Oryctolagus cuniculus: one gene and its partner. The protein of the gene in region 1 interacts with the protein of each later gene in a pairwise test. Links are inferred from orthologs where the notes say so. Each region holds a gene or a part of one and is shown on either strand. Other genes may lie near its edges.

Region 1 (7,656 bases):
AGTTCACTCCCTAAATGGAGGCAACGACCAGGGCTGGCCCAGGCTGAAGCTAGGAGACCAGAGCTCCACCCAAGTCTCCCACATGGGTAGCAGGGACCCAAACACTTGGGCCATCCTCTGCTGGCTTCCCAGGTACATTAGCAGTGAGCTGGATTGGAAGTGGAGCAGCCAGGATTTGAACTGGTGCTCCAACATGAGATGCCAGCATTGCCGGCGGCAGCTTAGCTCACTGAACCAAAATAATGGCCCAAGATGGTAAATTTTCCTATGTATATTTTAACATAATAAAAAGTCTACCATCCATATAGAAAAAGATAGAAAAACATATAATATAGCAAGAAATAGACAAAAAAAAAACCATAAGAGGACAGAAGTTCAAAACATCAATCATGACAATAAATGTCAATGAGTTAAAATCGCTGTAGACGCTGTTGGAGAAAAGATCTCAATTTTCTGTTGTCAACAACAGAGATTATGAAAATGCAACAGTCGAGCAAAATATTTTATGTACCATTTCAAATATGAAGAATAACCATATATGGGGTGGGTGTTGTGGTATAGTGGGTTAAGCCACTGCTTAGGACATCCTCAACCCATCTGGAGTACCTGGTTCAAGTTCTGGCTACTTTGCCTTTCCAATCCAGCTTCCTGCTAATGCACTTGGGAGGCAGTGGACGATGGTTCAAGAATCATCCCATGTGGGAGCTCCAGAAGGAATTCCTAGCTCCTGGCTTTGGGCTGGCTAATCCCAGCTGTTGCAGGCATTTGGGGAGTGAACCAGCAAATGAAGATCTTTGTCTCTCTGCCTTTCAAATAAACAAATAAATCCTTTATAAAAAAATCATATAAAGCATAAATTACTGAGTAGAAAAAGAAGCTGGCAAGAATACAATGGTCCTAGGAGGTAGGTCTTAACACATCCCTTTTCAGTCCTTGACAGATCAAGTAGGTACAGCATTATGAAAATAGATGGACAATTTTACTATATGTTCCAAGAAAATGTGAAACATCACAGCGAAGAGAACCTTAAGCATTCTATATCCTCTGACCACAGAGCAAAACAGTAAGAAAACATTATGAACATAATAACTCCAACTACTTGGGGATTTTAAAAATAATAATAAAACAACAACAACAAAGACCCTCAAAGACAAGCAAGTGTAAAGAAAATAATAGTACACAAAACAGAAATCAGAATGATATAGAAAAATTACTCTGCTACACCAATACTTAAGCAATTTCAAATCTGGTTGAGAGATGACATTTCAAAGGAAAATCAGACATTTCAACAAGAGATGTCATTTCAGAAGAAAATCAATTAGAAAAATTGACTCAAAAAAAAAGTAAGAATATTTTAAGCAAAACCACTACAGAAACCATTATAAAACTGTTCCCCAAACTGCCTCTTAGACAATATGGGTCTCAGTTTACTGATGATTCTTTTCAACTTCTAGGGAATACACAGTTCCCATAAAATTTTTTATAGGGCACCAAAGAAACACAGAAAACACTCCTGGGTCCACATATCCAGACTTTATAAATCAAAACATTTGTCATGTTTTGTTGCTCTTCTTTTGTTGAAAAGGGCAACAGACAAAATGCTACTCATAAAGTTGAATTCTCCTGACTTCCATTTCCTTTCAACCTAATCCTTCTTCTGCCTAAGGAAATACAACTGTCCCGGCTATGGGTCCTCAAGGCCCTGAGATAAAGCTGGCATTTATAATTGGTGGGGACAAGACAAAGATGAGCAAGCCTGGGAGAGAAAACACTCAGGAGCTCAGAGAAGATAAGGAAAAGATAAGGAAATTAAATATTTTTTAAAACCATAAAAAGAGTCAGAAGATGGAGATAACCATTCATCTGAATTTGTGTATGTGAGTGCCACAAGCCAAAGGTGGTAAAAACTTCAGATAACAATTTTAAACTTCAAAATTAGAAAAAAGTTTCAAAATATAGAATGAGCCAAGAACTGGGATAGGAACCCATAAAAGAAATACAAATGGCTAATAAACAAAATGACCACAACTTTAGTTACCAAAACATGCAAATTAAGCCTTAACAATGAGCTATCCCCCTCATCTACTCCACCCATAATTTGATAATCTGCCAAAGATAAGAAAAAGGTAGTGTTTTAGGGTGCTATGGGAAATCTGGCCCTCATCTATTAACAATGACATTATAATTTCATATGAAGATTTTCATCAAAATTTTAAAAATCATCCCCATTGACCCAGTGAGTTTGTATCTTAATTTATCTGAAGGAAACAAGGGAGGTATGCCAACCTTCTGTATGCCTCATTTACAAAAGGAAAAACTAAGCTAAAATATCTAGCAATTAGACATTGGCTAAATAAATTATAATATAGCCATGTAATGCAAGACCTTGCGGCCCTTAAAAAGAACCATAGAAGGGCCAGTGCTGTGGCGTAGTGGGTAAAGACACTGCCTGCAGTGCTAGCATCCCATATGGGGGCCAGTTCGAGTCCTGGCTGCTCCACTTTCAATCTAGCTCTCTGCTATGGCCTGGGAAAGCTTTAGAGGATGGCCCAAGTCCTTGGGCCTCTTCACCTTTGTGGGAGACCCAGAACAAGCTCCTGGCTCCTGGCTTCGGGTCGGCCGTTGCAGCCATCTAAGGAGTCAACCAGTCAATGGATGACCTCTCTCTCTCTCTCCCTGCCTCTGCCTCTCTGTAATTCTGTCTTTCAAATAAATAAATAAATAAATCTTAAAAAAAAAAAAAAAAAGAGAGAGAGAGAGAGACCCACAGACGAGTGGGCATTTGGCTTAGCAAGCGGGGCAGTGCTTAGGATACCTGCAATACTCCACACTGGAGTGGCTGAGTGGAAGTCCTGGATCCTCTCTTGACCCAAGCCTTCTGCTACTGTGCACCCTGGGAGGCAGCAAGGGATGGTTCAAGTGGTTGGGCCCCTGCCAGTCAGTTGGGAGGTCCAAGTGAATTCCAGGTTCCTGACTTCAGCTTTGCAGAGCCCTGACTGTTGCGGGCATTTTGTGAATGAACCAATGAATGGGAGAACTCTCTGTCTCTCTGCCTTTCAAATAAGTAAAATAAAATAAAACAAAAAAATTCTTAATTCCTGAAAAACGTTCATTATATATAGGCAAATGAAAAAAAAATCACAAAACATTCTTGGAGAAAAGGTTAGGAGTGATTAATTCTGGACAGCAAGATTGCATTTAATTTTTCTTTTCCATTTAGCCTTGTGTTATCGAACATTTTTTTTAAAAATTGAACATGTTATTTTTATAAACATAAAAGAGGAAATAATATACAAGCACTAAAACTTGGTATCCAGAGCAGAGGGTGTCGAGATGCTAGGGGAGTGAATAAAGTGGAAAGGGCACAGGGCACAGGACAGAACCCACACGAGATGGAACTGAGCCCTCTAATATTCTTTTGTCCTTGAAATCCCAAGACCTTAAGGAGTCATATTTGATGTGTGGTTGAGCTTGTTTCCTGTTCGCGCAGGGACCACGGCTCTCAGGTTTCCTTACTTCAAACACAAGCTCAAGCTCTGGACAGGTCACACTTCCTGAGCACCCCTGCGGCCAGAAGGAATTTTCAAGGATCCTCCTCTCTCCAGAGCATGACACAGCCCGTGTCACTACTCCTGGCTTTCTCTCTCCAGCTCCCTTGTACAGCCGCAGACCCAATACAAACACACACACACACACAGTCCCAGTTACCTGTCCCCCCAACACTTACCCCTCCAACCGGAGTCCAAAAGAGGGAGAGAGAGGTCTGTTGGCCAGGGTCAGAGGCGACAGTTTTTATATAATCCACTGCTCCCGCCAGGAGGCTGCAGTCTCCTCCCGGATTCCTGGGAAAAGGGGAGGGCAGTCACTTCCCTCTGGGGGAAGGCAGCCAACACGCAGTGTCTGTAGTGAAAACCACAGACAATAAAGAAGAGGGAAATGTTCTTTTAAAAGTCATACTTCCTCAGTTACGTTATTGGTTGGCAAGTGAAGCAGCTTGAGTTTTCTTGCAACAGTTTCCCATCAATTGCATTTTTGGGGAAAAGTATGCCACTGCGGCCAGTTCAATAAAAACACGACCTTTTGTTTTAAAATCACTGTCGGTTTCTGTTGCTACAACTGATTGTAGCACTTCGAATTTCACACACAGGCGTCTCTCAGTAATCCTCACAGCAAAATTAAAGGCAGCATTGTTAACATTTCCTAACACAGATGAGGACTTGCGAGGGTACTCAAAGTGTCTTTGGGGAATATGTTGAACTACTCTGAAGCCAGCAGCTACTAAGCCTCACTTACATGTGAAGAGGAAGGTGAAAGAAAAGTTGGTGGCTCCTGGGAAGGTCTACTTTGCTCTGGGCCTTCACAGTGTGGCTGATCTGATAAGGAAGAGGGTACTCCCAAGAGGAAATGTTTATGTGCCCTGTGCAGATAGCGGAAGCTTCCTCTCCCCAGACAATAGGTTTTAGCATAATTAAAGCACAGGCCAGAGGGACAGCTTAGAAGTTAAAATTCTTTGTGGCTTGGAATTCTTGGACCCAGAAGAAATCTCAGCGTGAGGTCTCCTTTCCCAAAAAAACCTTCCTGGACACCTACTTCTAAATTGTATTTGTGTTTTGAAAGGCAGGCAGAAAGGAAAAGAAACAGGACACAGGGGGGTCTTTCATCTCTGGGTTCACTCCCCAGATGCCTTCAAACAGCCGGGGTTGGGCCAGGTCCAAGGTGGGGATCCTGGAACTCAATCCAGGTATCCCGCATGGGGGCTAGGGACTTAAGTACTTGAACCATGACTCGTTATCTCCCTGGGTGTACAGCTACAGGAAGCTGGAAGCGGAGCAGGGGCTTGAACCCAGGCACTCTGATACGGGATGCAGGCGTCTCAAGCAGCATCCTGATTTCCAGATCCACCCTGGAAAGAAATCCAGTTCTGTTACCAGCTAGCTTGCCAGACTTGGCCCGCGATTTTCTCTAACTTCACCCAGGTCTTTCATCTCTGCGGTACTTCAAACCCCTCTCCCAATTTTTTCTCTGCTCATCCCATTCAAGTCAAAGACTCTGGGAAGGCTTGAGGCTTGAGAAAGCCACTCCACTGGCCTGTGACAACCCCAAGCCTAATACAATGCCTAGCGCACAGCAGGCCCTTGGTACCTCCTGAATGTACCGGGAGGGGTGGCAGGTTAATGGTTTCTTCAAAGCAAATTATGACAGCAATCCCAAAGGGGCACCCTGGAGTGATGGAGCTGATTTTGCCATCTTCTCTTTGAGATCCTAAACTGGATTTGGTCTATCCACAGGGAGCCTGAATCTTGAGGTCTCAGTCAATCCACATTCTGGATTGACAAGCATGCTCTTCCACTCATTCTGGAGGGAAAAATCTCAGTGGTCCTAAAAGACACAGAGGAACCCTCACTAATTAGAAACCTACAGAGTGGACTCCAGAAAGAGCTCACCAGAATATTTGGGCCTTTGCTTCCTTGGGACTCACTAGTGTCTGCTCTTCTCAACCTCTCCCCCTTGTCCCAAAAGCCAGGGAGATGCTGGAGCCATTTCTAATGGCCTTTGAAACACACTTGCCCCCTCCTCTCCTCTTGAATGAACTCCTTGCCAGCAGGCAAGGCAGCAGGGGTAATTAAGAATGTGGGACCTGACATATGAATAGTGGGAACTCCATCCAATATTACTACTTACTAGCTGTGACTCTGAGAATGTTACCTGGCATTGCTTGAATTCATTGCTTTCATCGACAGGGCAGGGATTAAAAAGCTACCTTATGGGGCTGGCGCTGTGGCACAGCAGGTTAACGTCCTGGTCTGAAGCGCTGGCATCCCATATGGGTGCCGGTTCGAGTCCCGGCTGCTCCACTTCCGATGCAGCTCTCTGCTATGGCCTGGGAAAGCTTTAGAAGATGGCCCAAGTCCTTGGGCCCCTGCACCTATGTGGGAGACCCAAAGGAAGCTCCTGCCTCCTGGCTTTGGATCGGTGCAGCTCCTGCCGTTGCAGCCAACTGGGGAGTGAGCTGTCAGATGGAAGACCCTCCTCCTCCCCGCCTCTCCTCTCTCTCTGTAACTCTGACCTCTGACTTTCAAATAAATTAATAAAAAAAAAAAAAAAAAGCTACCTTACAGCCTTGTGAGAATTCTCTGACATAACAATGAGAGGTAGTTAATATGGTGCCATGATGCTGGGAACTCAAGGCATGGTCTTGAAGACCATCCATGTTCCCCACCCCCTCCTCTTCCTCATCACCAGCAAACAGACCCAAACATACTTGTTACCATCTCTTAGAATCCAGCACCCAGAGGAAATGGCACTTGGTGGGTACTCAAAACATCTGGCAAATAAAGAAATGTGATTTTTCCCTGAAATAATCCTTGAAAGGCAACGGAAGATGTCCGAAGCTCAGGCTGTCACTGTTTCTCACTTGGTGTCACTTTATGACCTTTGCCTTCTAAGCTTATTAATGATTCTGCTCCTCTGCCTAACACTAACACTTCACTCCCTGTGACCAAAATAACACTCACTTCACTCTGCTGTTGCCCCAGGTCCTTAACCTTTAACCTCACCATCTAGTCTCCTTATCAGCTGATCCTTATCAAGCCTTTCCCTCTCCTGGGGTATTCAAGGGAAGATCATAAATTCTTTCACTGTGAGAGTGCATCTGCTATGCTGGTTCTGCTATGACAATAGTGAGTCAACAGCAATGGAATTCAACAGCCCAACAGCATTTTTTTGGCCTTGGAAGATGTTTTGGAGTTTACTTATCAATTCATAAATACCTTTTCCTGAGATGTCACAGGATGGGGGCATGCCAGCCTGTCAAACATCCCAGGTAGGCCTCATTCTCAGTTGTTTTCAGGAATTCACTCCTCTGACAAATCAAAGGTGACCTACACTTTGGTCAACACCAGAGAAGCAGCTTCTGGGTTAGCTGGCAAATAGAAAAATCTAAACACTGATTTAAACATCTACTGATTTTTCTTTCTTAAGGTACTGATCCTTAAATGCCTGGAATCAAACCAACAGTATTACTGGGCTTTTTATACACTGTTTCCATTGGGTGAATGATTTTAAAAGACCTGAATGTTACAACCTTGAAGACTATCCAAGGAATTACTACAAAGAATACATCCCTAGAGCAAGTCATCCCTCTATTAGGCAGGGAGATCTCTCAGTTGAAAGGAAAAAATGACCAAGTTCATTTATTCTACAGCTCAGTAGGCTGGATGATGCTCTGGTAGTAAGTCTGTAAGTACACGTACAATGTTATTACTTAATAATCAATTCTTCTGTGCTTATTTCCATTCTCAAGGTAGATATCTTAAACCTTGTTCAAAAGGCTCACTTCTGGGGCTGGTGTTGTGGCACAGTGGTTTAAGCTGCTGCTTGCAACATCAGTCTCCTGTATCTGGAGCACTGGTTCGAGTCCTGGTTGATCTGCTTTTGATTCAGCTCCCTGCTAATGCACCTGGGAAAGCAGCAGATGATGGTCCAAGTGCTTGTATCCCTGCCACTCACATGACAGACCCAGATAGAGTGCTAGACTCCTGGCTTCCAGATCCAGCCATTGAGGCCATTTGGGGAATGAACCAGCACAAAGAAATCCTCTCTCTCTCTCTGCCTCTCTCTGTTACTGTGCCTTTTAAATAAATATATTTTTTTTAA
Region 2 (7,691 bases), on another chromosome or scaffold:
GGAGAAGCACCTGGCTCCTGGCTCCTGCCATCGGATCAGCGCGGTGCGCCGGCCGCAGCGCGCAGGCCACGGCGGCCATTGGAGGGTGAACCAACGGCAAAGGAAGACCTTTCTCTCTGTCTCTCTCTCTCACTGTCCACTCTGCCTGTCAAAAAAAAAAAAAAAAAAAACTCCTTAGGTGTGACACTGATGTTGTGGCTGTTAGCCAAGGCTATTGGGTGGAGTCCAAGATACACTGTCAGACTGTTCCACTTTATGCAGACCATAAAAATTGAGAACATGATGTAACGGGAAAGCAATTACACATAAACAGGCTTTAATTTTTCAGGAACTGCGATATCGCTGCATAACTACACATCAGAACAGTTACCACTCCTCGTGTGCAGTGCCGAGCAGAGACGTGTTTTCTCACACTCACACTCACAGTACGAGGAGGCCAGCTCTCGAGCGCGACCGTCCCGGGCTGCGCACTGCGTTACCTCCGTGTCCGGGGCGAGGTGGTGCCCAGAGGCGCACTCAGCGGGGTCGGCGTAAGCAGCACGCTCTGGCTGTGACTGGTCTGCGGAAGTCAGAGCTGGAGCTTCAGCACGCTGGCACTGCTGAGCCGCGAGTTCCGTGACTTGACTGGGAAGACTGTCATCGTTATAATATGTCTGGTAATAATAATCTGCAGCAAAACAAGCCAAGCGGCGGATTAGGACGGTGCGCATAAAAAGGTCTCCATTCCACAACACTGGCACTGATGACACACACTGTCCACGATTTCTACAGTCTACACATTTGAAAGGGAAGAACTGGCGGTGCAGACTAACCCAGGGACGGACGCATCCGATTCTAACGTCCCCATTCACACCCACCTGTCACGCCGAAGAGGGAAAAAACACAGCACTTCTGGATTCCCCACACTAGCAGGAAGCAAATGGGCAAGAGCAACGCTTAACTTCTCGCCTCATACCCCATACTGCTGCTTATCAGTGACAGCAAAACAAAGCCAAGGTATTAGTGGCTGATTTTCTGGCAATCTGCTCACGAGGCTGACTCCCAAAGAATTTCTATCACACAGATACATAAGATAGTATTACTGCTGTCTGTGGAAATTCAGCTACATTGCTAAGTGATATGCATCTGAGTAAAACAAGACAGCGCTTAATGGGAAGATGACTACTTCTTGTAATCCACAACATTAAAACCCAGCAGCTCACTGGTCTTCCTCACAATTTAACGCCACTGCGAGGCCACGGTGGAGAGCTCACTGTTCAACAAGGGCCTAAGAGACTGTCACTGGACACGTGCCTCAGTGGACGCCCCAACAAGATAACACAGCCCTGTGGTCACAAGGCGGATACACAAGGACGTAGGTGACGCACAGCGAGGCAGAATCCCATAGCAAGCGTGCCAATGAGAACAAATCAGCCACGCCACGATGAGTGTGGCACTAAGGACACATGACCCACGCCAGTGAGAGTGCCAGTGAGCACACGTGAGACACATAGGGAGTGTGCCAGTGAGCACACGTGAGACCCATCAGGGAGTGTGCCAGTGAGCACACATGAGACCCATCAGGGAGTGTGCCAGTGAGCACACGTGAGACCCATCAGGGAGTGTGCCAGTGAGCACATGTGAGACACATAGGGAGTGTGCCAGTGAGCACACGTGACCCACGCCAGTGAGTGCCAGTGAGCACACGTGAGACACATCAGGGAGTGTGCCAGTGAGCACTTTGAGCCACGCCAGTGACAGTGCCAGTGAGGACAGGTGAGACACACAGGGAGTGTGCCAGTGAGCACACGTGAGACACATAGGGAGTGTGCCAGTGAGCACATGTGACCCACGCCAGTGAGAACACATGACCCACACCAGTGAGTGTGCCAGTGAGAACACATGACCCACACTAGTGAGTGTGTCAGTGAGCACACGTGAGACGCATCAGGGAGTGTGCCAGTGAGCACACGTGAGCCACGCCACAGGGAGTGTGGCCCTGAGCACACATCAGCCACGCCACAGGGAGTGTGGCCCTGAGCACACGTGAGCCACGCCACAGGGAGTGTGGCCCTGAGCACACATCAGCCACGCCACGGTGAGTGTGGCCCTGAGCACACGTGAGCCCCGGCCCAGGAGCTGCAGGAACAGAATGTATTTCTACTTTTCCCACAAGAACAGACTGCCGTGCAGACGCCACATCGCAGGGAGAGAAGTCGGCGCTCCACCGCCCGCTGTGCCCGCTGCGCCCCGCTGCGCCGACGGGCCGTGGAGAGCAGGAAGGGGTACCTGAGCGCGCCCAGGGAGCGCCGTCCTCGGTCTGCACCTCCACGTCAGCCTTCCCGCTGGCTCTGCTCCTCGCGCAGTGCAGCACCTTCCTGAGCTCCTCCACCTGAGAGAGAACAAGGCGTCAGGGCGCAGCACCGCCACCCCGCCCGGATGCGCCACTTTCCTGACACTGCAAGAGGTCACGTCTTTTTTAGAGAAGTGCTAAGAACAGCTGGCTTCCTATTCAGAAAAAACTAAAGATGGCATAACTTACTTCCTGTAACATTTACATGTAATCTGCATCGATCTTCTTAAGCTCTCTTGTTAAATGTCCGAAACCAAACCGGAAGAAATTAGGTAACAGGACTTCGCGGGCGGGATTCTTTATTTCTAACAAGAAAGTTTCAATGATAGTATTTCACAAGGTCACTAGTTCTCCTGAAACAGGAATTTCTGTTTGCAAGTGTCGTGACTATCAGTGTAGGAAGCAGCTCCAGCCGCTTCACTCGGGCTCCGGCAGGGCGCTCCCCAGACCGAGCCGAAGCCCCGGCGCTCAGCGAGCTAGAGAGCACGCGGGTTCGGGGCGGCTTCACAGACTCGGCCGGGACCAGAAAAAAATGAAGCAAAAGTTCCACCGCCACCAGGACGCCCGCCCGGAGAGGCGAGCAGGGTGGCGACTCGGGCGCCCTCCGCCCCAGCACGCCGCCCCCGCCCCCGCCCCCGGACACCCCCCGACGACCCCCAGCACGCCGTCCCCGCCCTCAGCACGCCGTCCCCGCCCTCAGCACGCCGCCCCCGCCCCCAGCACTGTCCCCGCCCCCAGGACGCCCCCCGACCCTGGAGCACACCGCCCCCGCCCCCAGCACGCCGCCTCCGCCCCAGCACACTGTCCCCGCCCCCAGGACGCCCCCCGACCCTGGAGCACACCGCCCCCGCCCCCAGCACACCGTCCCCGCCCCAGCACGCAGTCCCCGCCCCCGGAGCACGTCGTCCCCGCCCTCAGCACGCCGTCCCCGCCCCAGCACACTGTCCCCGCCCCAGCACACTGTCCCCGCCCCCAGCACACCGTCCCCGCCCCCAGGACGCCCCCCGACCCTGGAGCACGCCGCCCCCGCCCCCAGGACACCGTCCCCGCGCCCAGCACACTGTCCCCGCCCCCAGCACGCCGTCCCCGCCCCCAGCACGCCGTCCCCGCCCCCAGCACACTGTCCCCGCCCCCAGCACGCCGTCCCTGCCCCAGCACACCGCCCCCAGGACACTGTCCCCGCCCCAGCACGCCGTCCCCGCCCCCGGACACCCCCCGACGACCCCCAGCACGCCGTCCCCGCCCCCAGCACGCCGTCCCCGCCCCCAGCACGCCGTCCCCGCCCCAGCACACTGTCCCCGCCCCCAGCACGCCGTCCCCGCCCCCAGCACGCCGTCCCCGCCCCCAGCACACTGTCCCCGCCCCCAGCACGCCCCCGCCCCGCCGTGCACCTGCGCGCGGAGCTCCTGGTTGCTGGTCTCGGCGCTCTGGTACAGCCGCTCCGTGTGGTGCAGCAGCCGCTCCACCTCCCGCACCTGCCGCCGGCAGCTCCGCAGCTCGCGCTCCAGCTTCTCCACCTTCCGCCGCAGCTGCGCCAGCTCGGGCTCGGGCGAGGCCTCGGGCTCGGGCTCCGGCTCGGGCGAGGCGGGCGGCGGCGGCGAGGGCGACGGCGCCTCCGCCGCCATGGGCGCGACGGGCGGCGCTCAGGCCCGGGCCGGCGCCGGCGGGCCCAGGGGCCACGGGAGTGCGCGGGCGGCGGAGGGCGGCCTCGGCCCCGGCCGGACGCGCCGGGCCCCGGCCATGACGCGCGGACGCTCGCGGCCTGCGGCCGAACGGGGCGGCGGACGGCCCCTGTGCGATCTAGGCGGACCGGGACCCTGTACCGGAGACCCCGCGCCCCGGTCAGGGAGACGCGGGAGGAACGCGGGCGACGGAAGCGGCCGGAGAGCCCGAGCCCAGGCGCGCCGCGGCCGTCAGGCTCCGAGCCGGAAACGAAGCTCGGGGCGGGCCCGGAAGCTACGGCGAGCGGGAAGGGCCTGGCGGCGGGCGAACTCGCGCGTGCGCGGGGCGGGGCGTTCGGTCCGCGGGGCGGGGCTGCGCTCGAAAGGGCGGAGCTCTCGGCCGAGGGGCGGGGCTGCGGCGGGCGCGCTCCCGGGCTCCGTGGCCTCCTGGGCGAGCGCGGTTTCCTGCGCGCGCTGCGGGCCCTCGCCGCTCTCTTTCCAGGCCAGCGCCGCGCGACCTCGCAATCGCCGAGGCCGGGATCGCAGCGCCCACGACGCCAGCGTCCTCAGGGGTCCTGCGGGGCCTGGGCTCGGCGCTGTGGGGGTTGCAGGGCCCCCGGCCGGCGTGGCCCCTGGCGGCCCCCTCTGCCGTGGCCTCGCCGCGCCCCCGGCCCAGCGGAGGGAGGCCGGGCGGGCGGCCTGGCTTTGCGCGAACGAGGCGTGACTTGCGTGCACGCGGTAGATGACGTCTCCCGGTCCGGCCCGCACCGCGGACCCTGCCCTCGTGTCCCTTACCGGACCCCGGTCGAGGCTTCTGAGGGCGCCCCAGCTGCCGGCCCGGCCCGCACCCCGGGCTCGCAGGATCTCACGCGGGGCGGAGCATCTTTCCTCCGCTTGTTCTGGGGTTTGACCCCGGCCGGCGTTAGCGCCTTTCTGAGGTCCAGCCCCGGCGGCCAGCGCAGCGGAACCCGCCTCCCCCGCCTTCCGGCTCTGCGCACGCTCAGAGACAGGAGGACGCCTCCCGCTGCTCCCCTCAGCCCCCGGTTCCTGCGCTGGCCTCTCCGCACGCCACCTCGCGTGTCCCTGAAGCGGTGTGTGAGGCGACACCTGGGTAGCCCGTGGCCAGTGAGGGCCACGGCCGCCATCACACTGGGCAGTCTCCTGACGGCCCCAGTCTGTCCCGGGTCCGTGCCCACGGCTCCCCTCGCCGAGTTCCCCGTCCCCGGTCCGTGTCCACGGCCCCTCCCGCCGAGTTCCCCGTCCCCGGTCCGTGCCCACGGCCCCTCCCGTCTAGTTCCCTCTTCTGGTCCCGGGTCCGTGCCCACGGCCCCTCCCGCCGAGTTCCCTCTTTTGGGTCGGGGTCCACGTCCACGGCCCCTCCCGCCGAGTTCCCCGTCCCGGGTCCGTGCCCACGGCCCCTCTCGCCGAGTTCCCTCTTTTGGGTCGGGGTCCGGGTCCACGGCCCCTCCCGTCGAGTTCCCTGAGGGGAGGCGGCCCCCGGTTTGCGTGGCACTGCTTGCCGTCTGCATTTCTGCCCTGGCACTGAGAAGACACCCAGGCCAGGCTGCTGGTCTAGGACGATGACGGACACATGGTGCTCCAGGACCCCTCACTCCCCCACCCCACCTCACGTCAGCAACCCAGGGCAGTCAGCCCACGAAGCCCCCAGGCTCGCGGGAATGAGTAAGCGAGGGCTGTTTGAGGCCATACGGTGGTAGCGCACACTCAGCCTGACAAGCCACACGGAGCCTGTGGGGTTCCACACAGCTGACGACACCCCACAGGGCAAGAACGCCGTCCACTCAGAAACCCAGTATATGTCCAGTTGTGAAGAGTGTCATAAACTCCGTATTTAACAAGCATGCACCTGTGGTAATACACCGGTCCTCTGGGGAGCCGACCCTCCCCTCCCACGTACCAGCGGATGTCACGGGAATATCCGGAGAGCCACAGCCTCTCAACAGCTCTCACCGACGGCTCCATGTTACTTTTGGTCAACTGACCATTACCCTGTCCCCTGGAGGCCCAAGAGCGGGTGGACGTGGTGTTGCCACACCAGGGTACTAGAAAGGAGGCTGGAGGAGACGGGGTAAACCCCAGCCTGCACGCGTGCATTTGTGAGTTCACTTTGTGCGACTGTGCAGCTGGCTTTCAAAAATTACTATAAACCTTCTCCTCTGCTCTCCTCTCCTCTGCCCCGGGAAGGAGGGCGCTGACCCTCGAGGACGCTGGCTTCTCCACGGAACTAACTGTGGGTCCTCAGGATCCAGCATCAGCGACGTACACCAGACGGCACCTCCTCAGGGCGCCAGGAACGGCCCTTGTGAGCAAAGAGCCACCATCCACCGCGAGGGCTCCTGGAGGGGCCAGAAAGCAGGCAAACGGATGCAGGAGGAGGAAGCCAGCCAGGGCTGCTGGTTCCTATGGGATGCGTCCCTTTAAGTGTTTCCCTAGAGGGGTCAGCACTGTCGCCTAGCAGACCTGGCCACCTCCTGCAGTGCCAGCATCCCAAGTGGGTACCAGTTTGGGTCCTGGCTGTTCCACTTCCAATCTGGCTCCCCGCTAATGCACAGCACGCAGCAGAAGACGGCCCAAGTGCTTGGGCCCCTGCACCCACGTGGGAGACCTGGATGCAGCTCCAGGCTCCTGGTCTAGCCCTGGCTGCTGGGGCTTTGGGGAGCAAACCTGTGGATGGAAGATGCCTCTCCCTCTCTCTTTCTGCCTTTCAAATAAGCAAGTAATTTAAACATTCCTGACTGGAGCCAGCAGGTGGACGGTGGCAGGCACTCCAGGCCTGAGCCACCACTGCTGCCTCCCAGGGTCACGTCGGCAGGGGCTGGAATCAGAACTGGGGCCTGAGTCCAGGCACTCGGGTGTGGAACAGGCTAAACTGCACAGCAAGGCTTGCCCGTTAAAACGACTCTTTACAATTTACTTAAATTTACTTATTTGAGAGACACATAACAATTCTCACCTGCCGGTTCACCTCCCCAGTGCCTGCAAAACTGGGAGCCAGAAATGCAGTCGGGGGGGGGGGGGGGAGGACAGGACCCAGTCACCTGCACCTGCGCCGTCACCGAGCCTCCGGGTCTGCACCGGCAGGGAGCGGCGTCAGGCCCTCTATGTGGGCCACAGCATCTGAACGGCGAGGCTGCGTCTGGCCCTAAAATGACTTCCAGGTCGAGACAGATTGCCTGCACCTCATTTCGCTGCACACGTGCCGTGCGACGGGCAGGGTACTTGCGCACACCATGTTTCCAGCTTTCTCATCTGTCACGACACGTGTCATAGGTTGTGGGAAGAGGCAAGCCAATACCGCGGGCACAGTGCTCCTCGAGGGCCTGCGCAGGCACGCTGGCGGCAAGCGTTCTGCTGACCGTAGGTGTACGAGGCGCTCGCTCTGGGGCTGCACGGCTCTGAATTTTTTTTTTTTTTTTTTTTTTTTTTTTACTTATTTGACAGAGTTAGACAGTGAGAGAGAGAGAGAGAGAGAGAGAGAGAGAGAGAGAGAGAAAGGTCTTCCTTCCATTGGTTCACCCCCCAAATGGCCACTACAGCCGGCGCTGCGCCGATCCGAAGTCGGGAGCCAGGTGCTTCTCCTGGTCTCCCATGGGGTGCAGGGCCCAAGCACTTGGGCCATCCTCCACTGCACTCCCGGGCCACAGCAGAGAGCTGGCCTGGAAGAGGGGCAGCCAGGA

The links. The genes of interacting proteins can lie anywhere in the genome.
Region 2: the proteins of MAB21L3 (region 1) and AGGF1 interact in binary tests that used the Homo sapiens proteins (3 or more experiments, as listed by UniProt). The two-hybrid records come from large-scale screens. The link is inferred for Oryctolagus cuniculus from reciprocal best matches to the Homo sapiens genes MAB21L3 and AGGF1.

What each region holds. Positions count from the first base shown.
Region 1 is NC_091438.1:54,355,728-54,363,383, forward strand, and holds the start of MAB21L3 (protein mab-21-like 3), read right to left. Parts: upstream 3,916-7,656; 5' UTR 3,728-3,915; intron 1-3,727.
Region 2 is NC_091445.1:1,339,963-1,347,653, reverse strand, and holds the start of AGGF1 (angiogenic factor with G patch and FHA domains 1), read right to left. Parts: upstream 4,279-7,691; 5' UTR 3,958-4,278; coding exon 3,724-3,957; intron 2,372-3,723; coding exon 2,269-2,371; intron 668-2,268; coding exon 480-667; intron 1-479. UniProt on the Homo sapiens protein: Promotes angiogenesis and the proliferation of endothelial cells. Able to bind to endothelial cells and promote cell proliferation, suggesting that it may act in an autocrine fashion.